Linked DNA regions of Schizosaccharomyces pombe. Changing the gene in region 1 together with any one later gene gives a genetic interaction. Each region holds a gene or a part of one and is shown in the gene's direction. Other genes may lie near its edges.

Region 1 (4,387 bases):
TTTTAATGAAATTGAACAAATAATAATGATCGAATCACCCATCACCCTTGAAGAACAAATGGTTCTTTCTTTTACTCAAATTCGAGGAAGTATCCCCATGTTCTGGGCCGAAGTTAATGATCTTCATTATCGACCTTTATTATCTTTACAACCTCTTGATTATAGCGAGACTGTGTTTGGGAAGCATTTTCAAGAACTTGCCAACGATTATGGGGACAATCTTGTGGTGGTCAATCTTCTAGACCAAAAAGGACGTGAAGCACCTCTACGGTCTGGGTTTGAAAAATTATGTAAACGAAATAAAAACCCTCCTTTGTCTTATGTTTACTACGATTATCATAAGCAAGGAAGTAGAAATCTCCCTTTGTTTCTTGCTGAAATTCAAAGTCTCTTGATAGAAGGAAAATATTATGCCGAGCATGGATCTAAAACTACTGCAATGCAAACCAACTTTGTAAGGACAAATTGTATGGATTGCTTAGATCGGACGAACGTCATTCAGACTAGCATTGCACAGTTTATTCTAAACATGCAATTACACGATATTGGTGTACTTTCTAGCTCTGAGAGTTTGGAAGAATATGATAGTTTTTTACAAGATTTTCGCTTAATATGGGCTAATACTGGAGATTATATCAGTGATCTCTACACTGGTACCCCGGCCTTAAAAGGCGATGTGACTCGCCATGGAACGAGAACCATTTTTGGAGCTTTCAAAGATTTATTAAACTGCTTTCGTAGATATATTCTTAACAATTTTTTTGACGGTATGCTGCAAGATAGCTATGATTTGGGTCTTGGAGTATTTCGTCCTTACGACTCACTTTCGATTCCGGACTTGCCTTTGCGTTTTCACTGGACTAGATTTGTGGCACCTGGAATTTTTTTGTTCACCACGATAATATTAACTATACAAGAATTATTTGGAAATCCAAGTCTGTTCTGTCGTCTGTTATATTCTATCCCTATGGTGAATGCTGGAATCTACCTATATTTTCATCGTAGACAATACGTTAATTGGCCTCGTCTAGTACTACCAACGTATGCTAAGGGAGGTTGGTTTTCGTTTCGTAATCATTTCCGAAATATTACTCTTAAAGTGTTTCGTTTTTTGCGTTCCGGCTCTTTCAAAAAAAGTGTCTAACTGTGCATTTCAATAACTAAAGAACAGTATTGCTATAACTCTTAATTAGCAGAAAACGCTCTTTGAACACTCGAAGTTCACTCTTTATTTCATTAGACTTCATAGATGTCAATCTTGCTACTGAACAAAGCGATGCTACCCAACTTTATCAAGTGACTAATTCAGATCATTTTACGTGATTGGTAATTGTAACTTTATTTTCTTTAATTGCTCCAAGCTTCCTACCAATATCAATTAGTAATTTAAGATTTTCATAATTGTTAGAGCCCTTAACAAACTATTGTAGTATGGATAACACACGAAAAAAATATAGCAGACAAAATTAATATTTCTAACTTTTATTAAGTCAGTGTTAAATATTGGGCAACTTTGACCATTGAATCACTGAGGCTTTTGACTCAAGTTTTACTCGGTTTTAAACAGTAAATGAAATATATGAAAAAGCCAAGCTTTCTTTCAATTTCATAAGTGTTGTTCATGTTCAATATTTAGGATACATACTTCTTCCAATTTAGGGGCATTCTGGTTTAATATTTTCAATGAACATGTTATAAAAATGAATTTTTTAAAAGATCATACAGTTCAGCAACGTTTTCTAATACTTCCAATCCAGAATCTTAATTCACAATTCACATTACTGAAAAAATGATGAAGTTATGCCTTACCCGACAGTTTTTGTATGAAAACTCCACAATATTACGAAAATGATTATATACACTTTTACAATCAGCTTAGCATAATTATGCTTATAGAAATGGAAATGCTCACACTTAATTTTGAATATTATTTTAATAGTGGATTTAACTACTCCTAGTACCAAGTCAAAGACTTGAGATCACTTAATGTAGCTTACGGAAGCGTAAACATCTCTCGCAATAATACTGCGTAACGAAGACCTGCAATTTAGTATATTAAGCTTGAACTTACACGTATACCCCTCTTGTTTATGTTAGCAGGAGTGCAATGTTCTGAACTTGTATATTTTAAGCCGTTCTGTTAAATATTATTAATTTAATCGTTTTTCTTTTTAAAAATTATAGCTTTTTAACGCATTGACGAGTTCACTACATACTCTAAGGATACTTAACATAAGTACGAGTACTGCAAACCGTCCATCAAGCTCTTCAAGGCGAATCATACATTTCGAGCGAAATACGACTCTTTAACATATATTCATTATTTAACATATTCACTTAATAATTCAACCCGATTCTGGCAGGATTAGCAACCTGGTCATATTCTTATGATTTATTCTTTAATATTTGTTTGCAACATAACCACACCCAAAATTTAAATTAAGAACTAACTTTTTTACATTAAGATCGAACATGAAAGACATTGAAGGACTTTTGGGCCTATGTGTTTGCTTTGTGGGGTTACCCGCATCTGGCAAGACATCTTCTGCAATGAAATTATCCAGATATTTGACATGGATGTCCGTTTCTACTCACCTTTATGATACGAAAGAAATTGATAATTCGTTGTCCGAAAATTCTAACAGTGATTCAGAGAATTTAGCTAAAACTCTTAGCCCCATATTCGATAATCTGGAGAGCGTTTTTAAAAAGGGTACTGATGTTGCGATTCTTGATTTTAACCAATGTACACTAAAGTTTCGGAAAAGTATAGTGGAGTTGGCAAAAGCGCGGAATATGCTCTTAATGTTTGTCGAGGTTGTCTGCACAAATCAAAAAATTATCGATGAAAACATTACTGATATGTGTCAGCATTCACCATATTTCAAAAGCTTTCCGTTCGAAGAATCGAAGAATAAAATCCTTGATAGTATTCATGAGTATGAGAAACACTACACACCTTTGTCCGAGGCTGAAGAATGTACTTTCGTTAGAATTGTGGACTTTGGAGCCGAACTGATAGTTCATAAACTTGAAAATTACCTTGAATCTAGGATTGTTTATTATCTCTCTAATTTGCGTACGCGTCGACGAAGTATTTGGCTAAGCCGACATGGTGAAAGTCAATTTAATGTTGAAGGAAAAATAGGTGGTGACTCAAGCTTAAGTCCTCAAGGACTAAAATATGCTGCTCTTCTTCCTGAATATGTTGCTAAGTTTTCGATAGGTGAAAAAGGACTTACGGTTTGGACATCTTCAATGGCTAGGACTATCCAAACTGCTCGACACCTTAATTGCCAAAAGCTCGAATGGAGAGCACTGGATGAATTAGATGCAGGAACGTGTGATGGTTTTACTTATGATTATATTGAACAGAATTTTCCTCATGAAGCCGAATTGCGAAATAATGATAAATTTCATTACAGATATCGTGGCGGAGAATCTTATATGGACGTAGTAAGGCGGTTAGAGCCGATTATTATGGAGTTAGAACGACAGGGAGATGTTTTTATTATATGTCATCAAGCTATTCTTCGTTGTATTTATGGATACTATCATAATCTTTCACTTGAGGAATTACCATTTATTAATGTTCCTTTACATACAATAATTAAACTCACTCCAATGACATACGAAACGATAGAGGAGCGTGTTACAGTCCCCATTTCTGCTGTTTCTACTCAACGCGGCAAACATTGAAAGAAAATTCTTCATAATGTGCTGATTTATTCCTTTAACGTTGATCAGAATTTTTCAAAGGTTGTGAATTATTTTTTAATAATAAAATGCAGCATTGATGACTTCAATACAAAATTATTTTTTTCAAAGTTTATTGTTAATTATTCTTCCAGTTACCTAAAGTTCGTATCACTATGCAGATAGCCGAAAGTATTTACTGTACGTGAACAAATCTTTTAAACGAAAATAGAAAGAAAAAAGTAGTTTACTCGGAACCATCAATTGGTTGTGTATGTCATTCATAAAGTTGTTATCTTTAATGCACTATGAAGCATTTAAGACATGAATGGCAAAATTATCTTTTTTTTTTCTAGAATCGAGCTTCAACCACGTTTTACAAAACTGTGGCTGTTGCTCTCGAGATCAATCAAAGTTATACGGTATATACTTTCCAAATAATTAAGCAAGGAAGGATAGCAAATCCATAATTCTAAAGATATCGAAAAACTCACAAAATAGCGAACAAAGTATTAGTAGTTAGAGTACTTTTTGATTAGCCTTAGAGAAAGTCAACAAGATAAAAGTATTTGATATTAAACGTCGCTTTTATATCATATTTTTTAGCAGACTTCTTCAATTTAAAGTCATTAAATAAATCCTATCATCTTCAGCTAATGACAGGACAGAATAAAACCCTTGACATACTCGA
Region 2 (4,600 bases), 2.3 Mb from region 1:
GTCCATCATATCTGGGCTCAGTTTAGCTGAGCAGGTATGGAGAAATAGTAACGCGATTCGTACGATTGATTTACGCTCCACTTATACCAAAACTCTCACTTCTTTAATTATTGTAAATGAAGGAGATGAGCCTCAAAATACATATCGCTACTTTCAGCAGACCTCACCTGGCGAAAGTGTCTTGTCTCTCTCCGTATCGATAAAAGAGGAAGAAAAGAAAGGAACTAACCCTATAAAAGTTAACAACAATGTTTATGATATTCCTTTACAACCTCCTGTCAAACCTGGTGAATCTCGTACTTTATTAATACAGGCAGGTTTGGACGGTGGTGTTCGTCCTTTACCAGCAGCTGTGGATCAAGACGAAGAACAATATTTGGTTTACCTGACAACCCTTTACTTAGATAGTCCCTACACTACTGATCTTCAACGCACTCGTCTTATACTCCCTTCTGCTAAAATTGACACATATACTACGTATAATATTGATGGAGCTGAACTTCCCAATCGTGTTGGCAATACTTTGGTTTACGAAAGCCGTGAGACTATCACCGGGGAGGACAATGATTTAGGTGAAATCTATGTTCGCTATGAGCATACTGTACCTATTCCTCGCGGAGCTGATCTCTATGTTCAAATTGATATGCATGAATACCGAAAAATGTTAGAAGTCTCGGAGCGTGTGGTTTTTGAAAACCATGCTGCCAAGCTGAAGTCCAACTTCGATCGTGCCAAGTGGTATATGGGAAACTTTTACAATCCAGTTTCTACTGCTATTAATCGAGTCGTCTATAGTCTTCCTAGAAATTCCAAGGATGTCTACTATACCGATGAGGTGGGAAACATTACCACATCTCATATGCGAGTTGAGCCTCACCAGACATGGATCGAGTTAAATCCTCGCTATCCTGTATTTGGGGGATGGAACTATTTGTTCCAATTGGATTGGAAAATGCCTTACGAGGAGTTCCGCTCTTCCAAGAATAGAAGGGAATATCTTGATATTCCTCTGGCATGGTCACCTGGTGACATGATTTATGAGAAAGCCGTTTGGTCTTATGTTTTTCCCGAAGGGGCTACCAACATTGAAATTGAAATGCCAGTAGAAATATCTAATTCCAACGTTACTAAAATCCATAAATTTTTGGATACTTTGGGTCGCCAAGTATTTACTTATGAAGCTTTGAATGTAACCGACGGTGTCCCTTCCGATATTGTTCATATCTCTTATGAGTATAACAGTTCGGCCTTTTTCCTTCGAATTGCAATTATTACTACTCTTCTCATATTATTAGCTGCTGCAGCCTACATGATTTGGGCACCTTAAAAAATATTTTTACAAAGTCGATCAATCAAGCCGAATGTCCTTAAACCCATGTTTATGCTAGCTTAATATTTGCCTTATGTGCATCCGAAAATCGTTGACAAAAATTCAGTATTTGTCAACTGTCCTTCTTTTTCCCCTTCTTCCATTTCTTGCCTTCCCCTTATTTTTTATGAACTCTGTTTACAGCTTTTAGTAAATGTGATCGTAAATTACCCTTTGTAATGATTGATTGATTCAACCTATAGGTAAATTTATATAATTGTAGTTCAACTATAGTTTCACCATATCGATGCGCTTGTGTGCATTTGCTTGAAAGGCGAATAAATGCCACAAGTCGTTGTAAAGGTGATTCTAGCAAACCTGCTCTTCTATTTATTATCCTCTTTTTCTGCAACACTCTTTTCCTTGCATTACACTTGAAAGATGCAACATTAATAAGTAACATGCTACCTCAACATATGCCTGATATAATTGAAGCGATCCCAGTTAGACTACATTCCTTTACCACAGGGGCAGTTAAATCAAGTTGATAATTGTAACGTTGGTTGTAACCAACTAAATAGAGCTACTTTAACATTCATAATCTGATTAAGAGAAACCTGCATGCGCTTTGACCGATTGCCTTGATTTCGTGTTGCTAAGTTTGCTCGGAAGATTTAAGCGAGTACATTCTTAGGGTTGTGCAGTCAAATTCTTTTACTTTCAATTATACTCTCTGGCTCAGTTGATACTTGGCTCATATTGTTTATTTTGTGAAAGTTAATTTACTTTTTTTGCTTTTAAAAGGTACATATTTATTAATCTACTTGTGTTGCGAATTTATCATAATATTTTTATCGTCATAATTTCTTTTATTTATTTGAAATTATCCATTTTTTTCCCATGTCTAGCCAATCCTATTATATGAATGACTTGGATGATTTGAGATCATTAGAATCATCAACTCTTAATAAAAAAGATACCGCGATCAATGAATTAAATCCTGAGCAAAATGACACTCGCCGATCCACAGATCTTCTTTTAGAAGACAAATATGGGATTCAAACAGGGTTTTCCAAATATTGGAAGAAATGTACTTATGGAATCCGTGAGTATTGCAAGTTCATCGGCCCTGGATTCCTTATAGCTGTTGCATATATTGATCCAGGTAACTACTCAACCGATTTAGATGCTGGTTCAAGGTTTCAATACAAGTTACTGTTCATCGTTTTTCTCTCCAATCTGTTTGCTGTGTATTTGCAATCATTATGTATTAGACTTGGATCCGTAACGGGTATGGATTTAGCCAGAAATTGCCGCGAACACTATAATAGATATATCTGTTGGTCATTTTACGTTCTTGCAGAAATTGCAATTATAGCTACTGATATTGCCGAAGTTATCGGCACGGCTGTCGCGCTTAAAATTTTAATGCACATTCCTTTGGTAGCTGGCGTTGTAATTACCATCTTAGACGTTTTACTGGTCCTTATTGCCTGGCGTCCTGAAGGTTCTATGCTCAGTGTACGTATCTTTGAGACTGCTGTTGCTCTTTTGGTTCTAGTTGTTGCTATTTCATTTGCAGTCGTTTTAGGCCGCGTCCACATCGGGGGCGCTGGTACTGTCTTTAAAGGGTTCCTACCTTCTTCTACCGTTTTTTCAAGAGAGGGACTTTACAGCAGCATTGGAATTTTGGGTGCTACTGTCATGCCCCACTCACTATTCCTAGGTTCTGGCCTTGTTCAAACTAGACTTCGTGATTTGGATGTCCGTCGTGGGAATTATACACCTGTTGGTGATTGCTCTGATTACAGACCTACCCATGAAACCATTAAGCATTCTTTAACATATTCAATAGTCGAGGTTGCTTTATCCCTTTTTACGTTTGCATTATTTACTAATTCTAGTATCCTAATCGTCGCTGGTGCTGTATTTTACAATACTAGCGGCGCTGACACCTCCGATCTTTTTTCAATTTATGATTTACTGAAAGAATATGTGTCTATATCTTGTGGTCGACTTTTTGCCGTCGCCCTTTTATTCTCAGGCATGAGTGCAGGATATGTTTGTACCATCGCAGGTCAAATAGTTAGTGAGGGTTACATAAATTGGAATTTACGTCCTTGGCTTCGAAGAGTAATAACACGTGCTATTGCAATTATCCCATGCTTAGTTGTTTCGGCTGCTGTTGGACAGAGTGGTCTTAATCAAGTACTGAACGCTAGTCAGGTTTGTCTTTCTATTTTATTACCTTTTCTTACCTTTCCACTTGTAATGTTCACTTGCTCTCGAAAAGTTATGCGTGTTGTTAGTGATTCTACCAATGAAGAAACTGGACAATTGATAAGAGAAACTCACGATTATAGCTTAGGATGGACTATGACTATTGTTACATGGGCAATTTGGCTCTTTTTGACTGCTTTAAATTTATTACTCATTGTTTGGTTGGGCATGGGAGTCTCCTTCTAAATAAATTTTAGAACGCTCGTATTTTTCAAACGGCATGGTTATATGCGTACGTTCCTTTTAACATTTCCCCATAGCTTTCCTTTAATTACTACACTTAGTCCGAAATTTATTTATGTAGCATTTGCAAACCGCGTCAAGTAATTTGCGATGCTCTGTTGAAACCAAAGTTATTAACATGAAGCTGAGACATGTATACAAGTACTATCACAAATGTTTTCATGTACTATTATAATGAATATTTTTTAATAATTAACAAAAAGGGTACTTAGATGCAAATATGTAAAGTTTTCATATCGTAGTTGTTGAATTGATCGTCATCAACGTGGGGATAGTATGGTACCATAGCATCTGCACTTTGTACATAAGCAGAATTGTAGCTTGTCCAATAAGTGTTACGAACTTTACGACTCGGATGAAATAATCCTTGTACTAAATATGCCATAATTGGACCTACACCGATACAATTTCGGATGCCATCAATGCCTTCCCGAACGGCATTGATAACATGGGGCGATTCCTCCAAGATATTTGGCCATAGGATATTAAGTAAATGAATCATTGCGTCTTCAACACCCAAACCAACACAACCAAGAGACAAGTGCTTGATTACAGAAGCGGCGGTTTGCCGATGCACGGCATCGCGATCCATAAGCGCATCGGCTAAAAGAGGTGTAATGGCATAAACATAGTCGCGTGCTTGCTCACCAATGTATTCAAACATAAACGCTAATGACTTTAAAACACCATTCTGCACGTTCATTTCTGGAGTTCTGTAGTCTGCCATAAGTGCTGGTACGACTGTAAAAGGCATACATGTTTCTGCCA
Region 3 (5,017 bases), 970 kb from region 1:
GCTTCTCCTTGGAAGAACCGACGTCCAACTGTCTACTAACTACTGATTCCAACAGATCCACGCCCACTACACTGTTCTACTCTACACACTTTGCGTGCTTGTCTGCTGTTACGATACCATCTACCAGCACATCCTTCCCTCGCCCCCTTTCTCAGCTACGGAACATCCCTCTACAACAAAGGACCCTTGAAATAGGACAACAACATCACCCAAAAAAGAAGGAAAAGAAAAAGAAAAAAAGATTCAAAAGAAAAAAATTACATTCCTAAAACTGATGGTGTGACACTATGGTTTTATATTATGACACATGCAATTTCAGTCGAGAAAGTTAGTCGAATCGTAAAAAAGTCAGTCGAGTAAATTTAAACGAGTAAATCAATTGAATATTGTGATTTTTTTTTTCGTCTATGTTTTTACAAAATAAAGGAAATTAAAAAAATTAAAATAAAAATGAAAATGAAAAATAAATTAAATAGTAAAAGCAAAAATACCGCGAGACCCTTACAAACTTGATGGAGGTCATTTTAGACGGTTTCGGTTGCTGCAGGCAATTCATTCACTTAACAAGTAAAATCTCCTTTCTTTCTCCGAAGGTGCTGCGAAGCCTTCCACTGCTGCTAAACACCTGATGAAATTCGGCAGTAAATGTAGACACTTCGTTATCCCAGCTTTTTTTAAAAAAAATTAATAAATGGTAGCCTTGCAGAATCCGGTTTAACGAGGCGATTTTGGCATGCATTATAATTGCTTTTCACACATGTTTTCCCATATCGTTTTCTTTCTCCAAGGCAAAATAGAGCGATGGATAGAATACATGCTATACATACGATATAGTCTATAGTCCATTTTGCATCTACAGATCCCTAGCGCACTACTCTGTTTTGTACAACCAAAAGTCCATCTTGCATCCATACAATCTTATTTACCACTTTTAATTTTTCATCCTTCTTTACCATTTTTTATTTCCATCCTTCTCTACCGCTTCTAATCCCTCTCCCATCCTTCTACTTTCGTTACCGTTTTGATGCGCTAACGATAAATAATACAACATTAGATTTTCTTTAACCTTCTTTCCATTCTCCTCAACACTTTAAATGGCCCACTTTAATAATTTTGCTTGCCCGGTTTTCCTGCTATTCCATTTGCTTGCCGTTACAATGTATCCGCATGTTTGCTCCTACTATCGCCGCATTGCGTTCCATTCCATTTTGCTATCGCAATTGCTCTGAAATCGGCTGCGTGCTAATTTTTGGACGCAAAGCTGCGATCATGGAATCTAGCTTCAAACTCTGGTATAAACCTTTTTTTAAACGCTTAAAAAACAACCAAAGTTAGTGCGCTCTCAAGCTTAAAGTTACGGATTTCCCCAAATCCGATATCTATTTACCGAGCGCAATAGTTTGTAAATTTAAAAAAAATAAATAATAAATAATAAATAAATAAAAAATTACACAAACCTTGAATTTGATCCAAACAACCTTTGCATCCTTTGTCGATCAAATTCCCATTCCTTCATTTCTTTTAAAAAAAAATTTTTTTTTCTAGAGCCGTTCCTTTCTCAATTCATTTTCGGGCATATTTATTTTGCTTCCTCTCTTCCTTCCTTTCTTTGTTTACACAAAAAACCATGATATTCCAATTGATCTTGCATGCTCATTTCTCACTACACCCTAATAATCCCTTTCCTTCATTCACTCTATCCTAAATTAAAAATTGCCCTTGCATCTTTTTTGTTTATCCAAAATTATTTAAAATTAGTGCATCAAAATCTTTTCTCGCAATTGCATTCCATCACATTACGTTTTATTTTGCTAATTTTTTTTCGACATCGCTCACTCCAATACTCAATATTTATTTACCATATTTTACGCATTACATCCTTAATGTTTTAATGTCATTGAGTTTATTCTGTTATCTGCTAATACCGATTTTACTACCTTTCTCCCTGTTTTCCATAAAACATATTCCCAACAGTGTCTTTAAATGACGTAGGGTCATTTCCTAGTAATTCATTATGTTCAGCACCTAGTCTCACGGTACCCTTTCTTCTACATTATACCGTTCTTCTTCAATTGATTCATGCTTTGATCTTTTGTTAATACCCAGTATTTATTTTTAATGATCTTATTTGAATTATAAAATTTTCTTTTCGTTTGCTTCATGTTTTGTTTTTTTCCTATCCAAAAATGTCTATCCCAGAGGAATCTGAAATAAATAAGGATTACACTGTTCAAGAAGGTAGGATGATTTGCTGTTAATTTTTATTACATAGTAATTTTACAAAACCAATTATTAACATTTTTCCTTTTTAAAATTTATAGATCTTGACGAATTCGCAAAATATACTTGTGTTTATAAAAAACGCCATGATGAAAAAATTGAGTACATCACTGCTCAACATGATTGGAATCCAGTCTATGAGGCCGTAGTCCCTCGCAAGTCAAAACCGGGTAAAGATGAAAAACGAGAGGGCTTTATGTATCCCATTCTACGTTGGCCCTTGATGTTTACTGCTTTCCTATGTCTAACCTTTGTCGCGTATGTTTATCTGTTACCCTTTACTTTATTTATCCATTTGTATTTGCTAACATCATCAACTTGCAGCTTTCTTTATCTTTTGGACCGTTTGTATATTAACTGTTATGAGTACTTTATTGTTTGGAGAGGCGAAGCTCGCAGACTTCGTAAACTCTTGCAAGAAGCAAAAACTTATGAAGAATGGAAGGAAAGAGCCAGAGCTTTGGACAAATATTTTGGTAATGACGAGTGGAAATTGGACCCTGTTTACGATTATTATGACTACACGCTCGTACAAGCTGTTTACAGCAGTTTGGTAAAACATCGAGAACAGAAAGATTGGAATGCCCTCAAATCTGTACTTGATGTTTGTGTGAGAAGTAATTTTGGTGGAATCGACAGCTCAATGCTATATTCGCGAACCTATAGCGGTACCAAAAAATTGGTGGAAGACTATGTTAATGAATTAAAGGTTTGTCTAGAAACCGTTATAGATCAACGTTTATATACGGCACAGGAAAGATCAAAGATGTTTGAATACTTTTCCCATAATTATGGAAGAACGGCCCTTTGCCTATCAGGTGGTGCTTCCTTTGCCATTTATCACACGGGAGTGTTGAGAGCTCTTCTCAACCAGGATTTGATTCCCAATGTCATTACTGGAACTAGTGGTGGCGGTCTTCTTGCAGCACTAGTTTGCACCCGCACCAACGAAGAGTTAAAGCAGCTTTTAGTTCCTGAACTTGCTTCCAAGTATCAATCAGATATCGGCAATTGGCTAGATGCTACGAAGCGGTACTTCAGGACGGGAGCTAGATTTGACGAAATTTTATGGGCAAAAACTTGCATGTATTTTACTCGTGGAAGCTTGACTTTTGCTGAAGCTTATAAAAGAACTGGTCGTATTCTGAATATCTCAGTTATTCCTAGTGATGTCCACTCTCCTCCTAAATTGATCAACTACCTCACATCCCCTGACACTGTAATTTGGAGTGCTGTTATTGCTAGTTGTGCCGTCCCTGGTATTTTAAATCCTATTCCCTTGATGACTCGAAGTCAGTCGCACAGGCTTATCCCTCACAATTTTGGAAACCGCTTCAAGGATGGAAGTCTTCGTACGGATATTCCTTTAAGTGAGTTACGTACTCAATTCAATGTCCATTTCTCCATCGTCAGTCAAACGAATCCTCATGTTCAAGTGTTCTTCTTTTCGCCTAGAGGTACAGTAGGTCGTCCAGTATCACACCGTAAGGGCCGTGGGTGGAGAGGCGGATACGTTGGAAGTGCCATCGAACAGTTTTTGAAGTATGATATGATTAAGTGGCTACATGTTATCCGTAGTTTAGAATTACTTCCAAGACCCCTTGGTACGGATTGGAGTAGTGTTTTTTTGCAAAAGTTTGATGGCACTATTACAATATGGGTAAGATTATATATAGCAAATGAAAATTTACAACAAGCTAACATTTTAGCCTAAAACAAAATTTCAGGACTTTTATTATATTCTCTCTCCTCCCAGTGTTGAACGACTTGGTTATATGATAGATGCGGGACAGGCTGCAACTTTTCCTAAATTAGATTTTATTGCTGCGAGAATGACTATTGAAAAGCTGATTGAAAAAGGTCGCATGATGGATAAGCCTAGTAAATTGGGTAGATCTATTGATGGTACTATCGGTACATCCATGAGTCGTGGTGACATTGAAATAAGCCAAGAGTCGGCTAGCATTTCTCCGGAAGATATTGACATTGTAAATTAAAATTTACTTGTTTAGCGCCTTTAAATAGTAAACTTTATACCTATTTTAACAAAGTGACATAGAAGTGTGCAGGTGACAAAATTATACTCAATTGAAAGAGATATATCATTATTAAAAATTACTTTGTTTGTTTGTGCTTATGTACATATAATTAATGTATTAAAAAAATTTCAGCTTAAGCGAATACTTTCGTCATTCTGTATCAAAAATATGTAGCAATTCTCGACCATTATTCATTATGTCTATTGTAGTGCATTAATCATAAACTCTTTTACTGCTCGCTCGCATTCATCAACCACAGAGTTTCTATTCCATTCGGACTTCGTATTCCAAATGATCTGGTACAAAAATGAATGAAGATGTAAAAGCTGGTCAACGGTGAAGCCTGTTGTTGAATCAATAAGCAACTGCTTCAATGGAGTAAGTCTGTCCTCATCAAACACCAAATCAGGGAATACCACCTCTTGTTCGATATTCTCAATATGACCATCAGCGGATGTAATATTATGGGCATCAGTAGGAGCATTATTAGGAACATCAGCAGGAGACGTGATGAGGGTGTCAACAGGGATATCAGCACGGCCATTAGAAGAGATATTCGTAGAGACATCAGTAGAAACACGTAATGCGGCTTCTGATGGAACGCCTACTGGACTCTTCCCATTTAACAATGGAGATTGTACTTTGTCTTTTTGATCAATATATTCGTCAGGCTTGGGAGACTCTTCATTCTCAACTAA
Region 4 (3,497 bases), on another chromosome or scaffold:
GTACGTCCTATCAATGGATCAATTCCTAATGCGCAACCCAGTGTTCCTGGGCAAGCCCAACCTGCAGCCAAAGCAAATTCTGTTGGTAACACATCTTTTCCTGTTGACAGTAAACTTGCATTCCAATCCTTGGATGTATCTCAGCCGGATTTGCAAGCCAAACAGAAGATTGCATCACAAGTCATGAAACATGGTTTAAAACCAGAAGATCTCAAGTTACCGCCTTCTAAGAAGAAAAAGATAGAAAACTTATCGACAGTTCAAAAACCTAAGGATTCAGTCGTAAATACTCCTGATGTTATAATGTCAAGTGTAGATGAAATACCTTCTAGTGTTTCTCCAGGTACTATAGCCAAAGAGGAAGGAATGGCTAAAGCTCGGGAAGAAGCAATTGCTAATCCTTTGAAGTACGCAATCGATGCATTTGTGGCTGTAGACCATGAAGAAGAAGTTTCTGCTATCAAATCATCACAGACTCCTAGTTCTATTTTGAAAACACCTCAGTCGTTTTTCATTCCTCCGTCAACTCCAGATTTATCATTTACAGATAACAAAAACTCACTTAGTCCATCTAATATTTTGTCATTGGACGGAAAATTTTCATTTAATGATGATTCGGAGCTTTGGGCTGATTTAGGTAATGAAATCAACTCTGAAATCGGATTTTTAAAGGAACCAGATACCATGAATCTTGCTTTGGATGCAGATAAAGATAAGACTAAAATGCAAAATAAGCTTACTCAAATTAATTTTGATGAATCATGTTTTCTAGATCCAGCGATCGACGATAAAGATCCATGGAATGAAATGCTTCATGAAAAGAAAGTTTTGCTAAAGCAGCTTCAAGTGGGTAACGAAGATGAAGACAACATCGCATTTCCAACATCTACAAACATATGGCAAGTTGTGATTTAAAATTTTGTGATACGATGGTTCGCAATTGTTTTTTATTTATTTATTGCACGTCGTCTCAAAAAGCAAATTGGACATATTTGTCCTTCTACAATATCTTATGAATACCATAGACATATATTGTTTCTCTGTTTATTCAACGTTTCTCCATTTTTTGAAAGCATCTGTTATGTTGAAAATTGTGATTGGGAAAAGGTTTGTATAGTCCTTGTGTTTATATACAATGATAAAAATAGAACCTGAATTTAATATTTTGAAGATCCGGTTGTACCTTTATTAGGCACAATGCCAGAAAGTATGGCTTTTTCCCGATTAATGACCTGTCTATGAGACTCATTGTGAACATGAAAATGTCGGTATAATGAGGACCGTTACAAATTTTATTTATTCATACGTTTAAGTTGATTTTAGTTAATTTATTATTAGTGCACCGGTTGGTGTTGAAAATTAATTTGTAATCTCTTAAATGAATATTTGTATAGTTTTTAATGTTTACTATCTCAAATATTCTAAAAGTAGCTATCAGTTTATGTTTTTGCTTTGGTTCAAGAGCTTTGGTTTAACCTAACCGCCAAATAGCTATCTCGAATTACCATCTAACATGAGAAAACAAATTAATATTTCAAAACTCCCGATAATTTATTGAGCTTAATAATTAATTAAAATTTACGTATTATTGAAGTCAATAAAAGCTTTCTTTGTCTTCCATGAACAAAGAAACCTTGTGATCTCAGTCTTGTATATAACACGCTAACTCGTGGCCTACTGTAAATAAAAGTTATCTTACTAACGATATATTATTTCTTGATTCATTGAAATAAGAATCGTAGGATTTAACAATAATTGAATACAGAGATCTCCTAGCTTCATTATTAAGTACAAAATAGTCAATTAATTTTTTTATCAAGCAGATTAATTGCTTTTAAACTTACAATGAATGGTATAAGGAAAAAACCAGCAACCTTGCAACTCCATAATATAAAAACCAGCTGTTTCATTGATGGCAGTGATGATCAAAGCGATAGAACAAGGTCAAGTTCTGGAGATAGCACCTCTAATTCACTGAAGCTATCACATCATATATCTGACGAACTGATCAATGCCATATATAAAGAGTTAAAGTCGCCAGTATCACCTTGGGACAAAAACATTTCGCAGCATTCGCCATGGCTGTTGGAAGCGGCATCGAACTCCATTGGTGATTCAAGTCCTTTACTTTCACCAATCTCTCCATTAAAGTTAAGATTTCATAAATATTCGGTTTCGAAACAGCTAAACAGCGTTGGAAAGCAGGGTTTTGGTCTTTCTTCAAACCATAGTCGTTATGCCTCACCATCCTCCCCTGCACGGCTTGCAAGAGGTGCACTTGGTGAGGAACTTAGCAATTCGCAATACAGATTAGAATGCGCCGCAATTCAGAAGCTTGTTGCTCAAAAACGAGCCAATAGAAGGAGTAGTAAAAGCACTTTAAAAAATTCTGCAAATGATATAGAGTTTTTCGATATTGAAGAAGTTTCCTCTCGCAAGGGACTAATAGACAGAACACCTTCTAAAAGAAATGTTACTTCCCGAGTTTCTGATGCGTATTCTCGTCTTAAATCTGCTGTGAAAGGCGAATCAAGCTTGTCCTTTAAAAGAAACCGATCGAAATCGAAGAGGAAAATTCAGCACCTGGGTTTGACTGAGTTTAATGGGTGGGAACACCATCAGTGCGACTGGCTATAAAATAAGTGTTACTCAGATGCTCCATGTTAGGCTACATGGTGCTAGCCATGTGGTAATTAACATTCATTTATTTCCTTCATTACTTTCTTCCTTAGTCCTCCTATCTCTTATTAGCTGGAAAGCTTTTATCATTTGCATTTTTCTTGTTAATTGGTCTTTCATTTATCTCGTCGTGTGCATTGAGATTTCCTATTTAAGTTTACGACTCATATTGTTTAATCTAATTTATTGTTTGTTTCTAATTATTCTTAATTTACTACCATAAAATTAAATTACTTAAAATTGGATACGTTCTATATGGTATGCATACGATTGCAATAAATCTTTAAAAGCATTACCCACTAAAATATTATACTATGTAACTACAAATTGTAGATACCTTCTGAAATTGATGATGTAAACAACATATTTAATTATATACAATTCCTTTGCGCAGATTTTACAGGCTTTAAAAGCGAGTGAAGATTAATTTTATATATTTGTAGTCCTATTACGTTCATAAACAGATTTCTGAAACATTAACATAAACTGGGTGCCACAAAACTAAATTAGTTTAATCTTCTCATAACATAGATTTATTAGTATGCACACTGTGAATTATGAAACACTGACATTCAGTAGCCAAAAATTCGTAAATTATTAAATATCTAGTTTCCAATTTTCTACGTTTTTATTTGAATGTGCAGTTAATCTGTAAGTATTTCCTTGTTGTTGATTGTGACACTCTTAGTCATATTCGCCGTTTTATAAATGCCAACCAAACGAGAAGATAACTCAAACATATTACTTCTTAAAGAAATAACAATAAACTGCGCGTTTTTAGTTCTTTCCTTAATGTAATTCGCAACAATCGAAACGTT

Evidence for each region.
Region 2: mutations in fpb26 (region 1) and pdt1 together harm fitness less than expected from each alone (positive genetic interaction), as found in Schizosaccharomyces pombe (one large-scale study listed by BioGRID).
Region 3: mutations in fpb26 (region 1) and ptl2 together harm fitness more than expected from each alone (negative genetic interaction), as found in Schizosaccharomyces pombe (one large-scale study listed by BioGRID).
Region 4: mutations in fpb26 (region 1) and SPOM_SPBC146.02 together harm fitness more than expected from each alone (negative genetic interaction), as found in Schizosaccharomyces pombe (one large-scale study listed by BioGRID).

The regions. Positions count from the first base shown.
Region 1 is NC_003424.3:2,058,563-2,062,949, reverse strand, and holds fpb26 (fructose-2,6-bisphosphate 2-phosphatase), read left to right. Parts: upstream 1-2,063; 5' UTR 2,064-2,472; coding exon 2,473-3,699; 3' UTR 3,700-3,887; downstream 3,888-4,387. Other genes in the region: sac12 (inositol polyphosphate phosphatase), read left to right, coding at 1-1,144.
Region 2 is NC_003424.3:4,329,130-4,333,729, forward strand, and holds pdt1 (Nramp family Mn(2+) transporter), read left to right. Parts: upstream 1-1,830; 5' UTR 1,831-2,209; coding exon 2,210-3,775; 3' UTR 3,776-4,037; downstream 4,038-4,600. Other genes in the region: dolichyl-diphosphooligosaccharide--protein glycosyltransferase Ost1, read left to right, coding at 1-1,327; prp10 (U2 snRNP-associated protein SF3B1), read right to left, coding at 4,041-4,600. UniProt on the Schizosaccharomyces pombe protein: Transports manganese ions into the cell. Regulates cell morphogenesis through control of manganese homeostasis.
Region 3 is NC_003424.3:3,027,493-3,032,509, reverse strand, and holds ptl2 (triacylglycerol lipase), read left to right. Parts: upstream 1-2,050; 5' UTR 2,051-2,186; coding exon 2,187-2,238; intron 2,239-2,321; coding exon 2,322-2,538; exon of another isoform or gene 2,539-2,604; coding exon 2,605-3,940; intron 3,941-3,989; coding exon 3,990-4,277; 3' UTR 4,278-4,504; downstream 4,505-5,017. Other genes in the region: ATPase histone chaperone Abo1, read right to left, coding at 4,520-5,017.
Region 4 is NC_003423.3:999,166-1,002,662, forward strand, and holds SPOM_SPBC146.02 (uncharacterized protein), read left to right. Parts: upstream 1-1,685; 5' UTR 1,686-1,845; coding exon 1,846-2,637; 3' UTR 2,638-2,997; downstream 2,998-3,497. Other genes in the region: mediator complex subunit Med15, read left to right, coding at 1-915; cut3 (condensin complex SMC subunit Smc4), read right to left, coding at 3,324-3,497.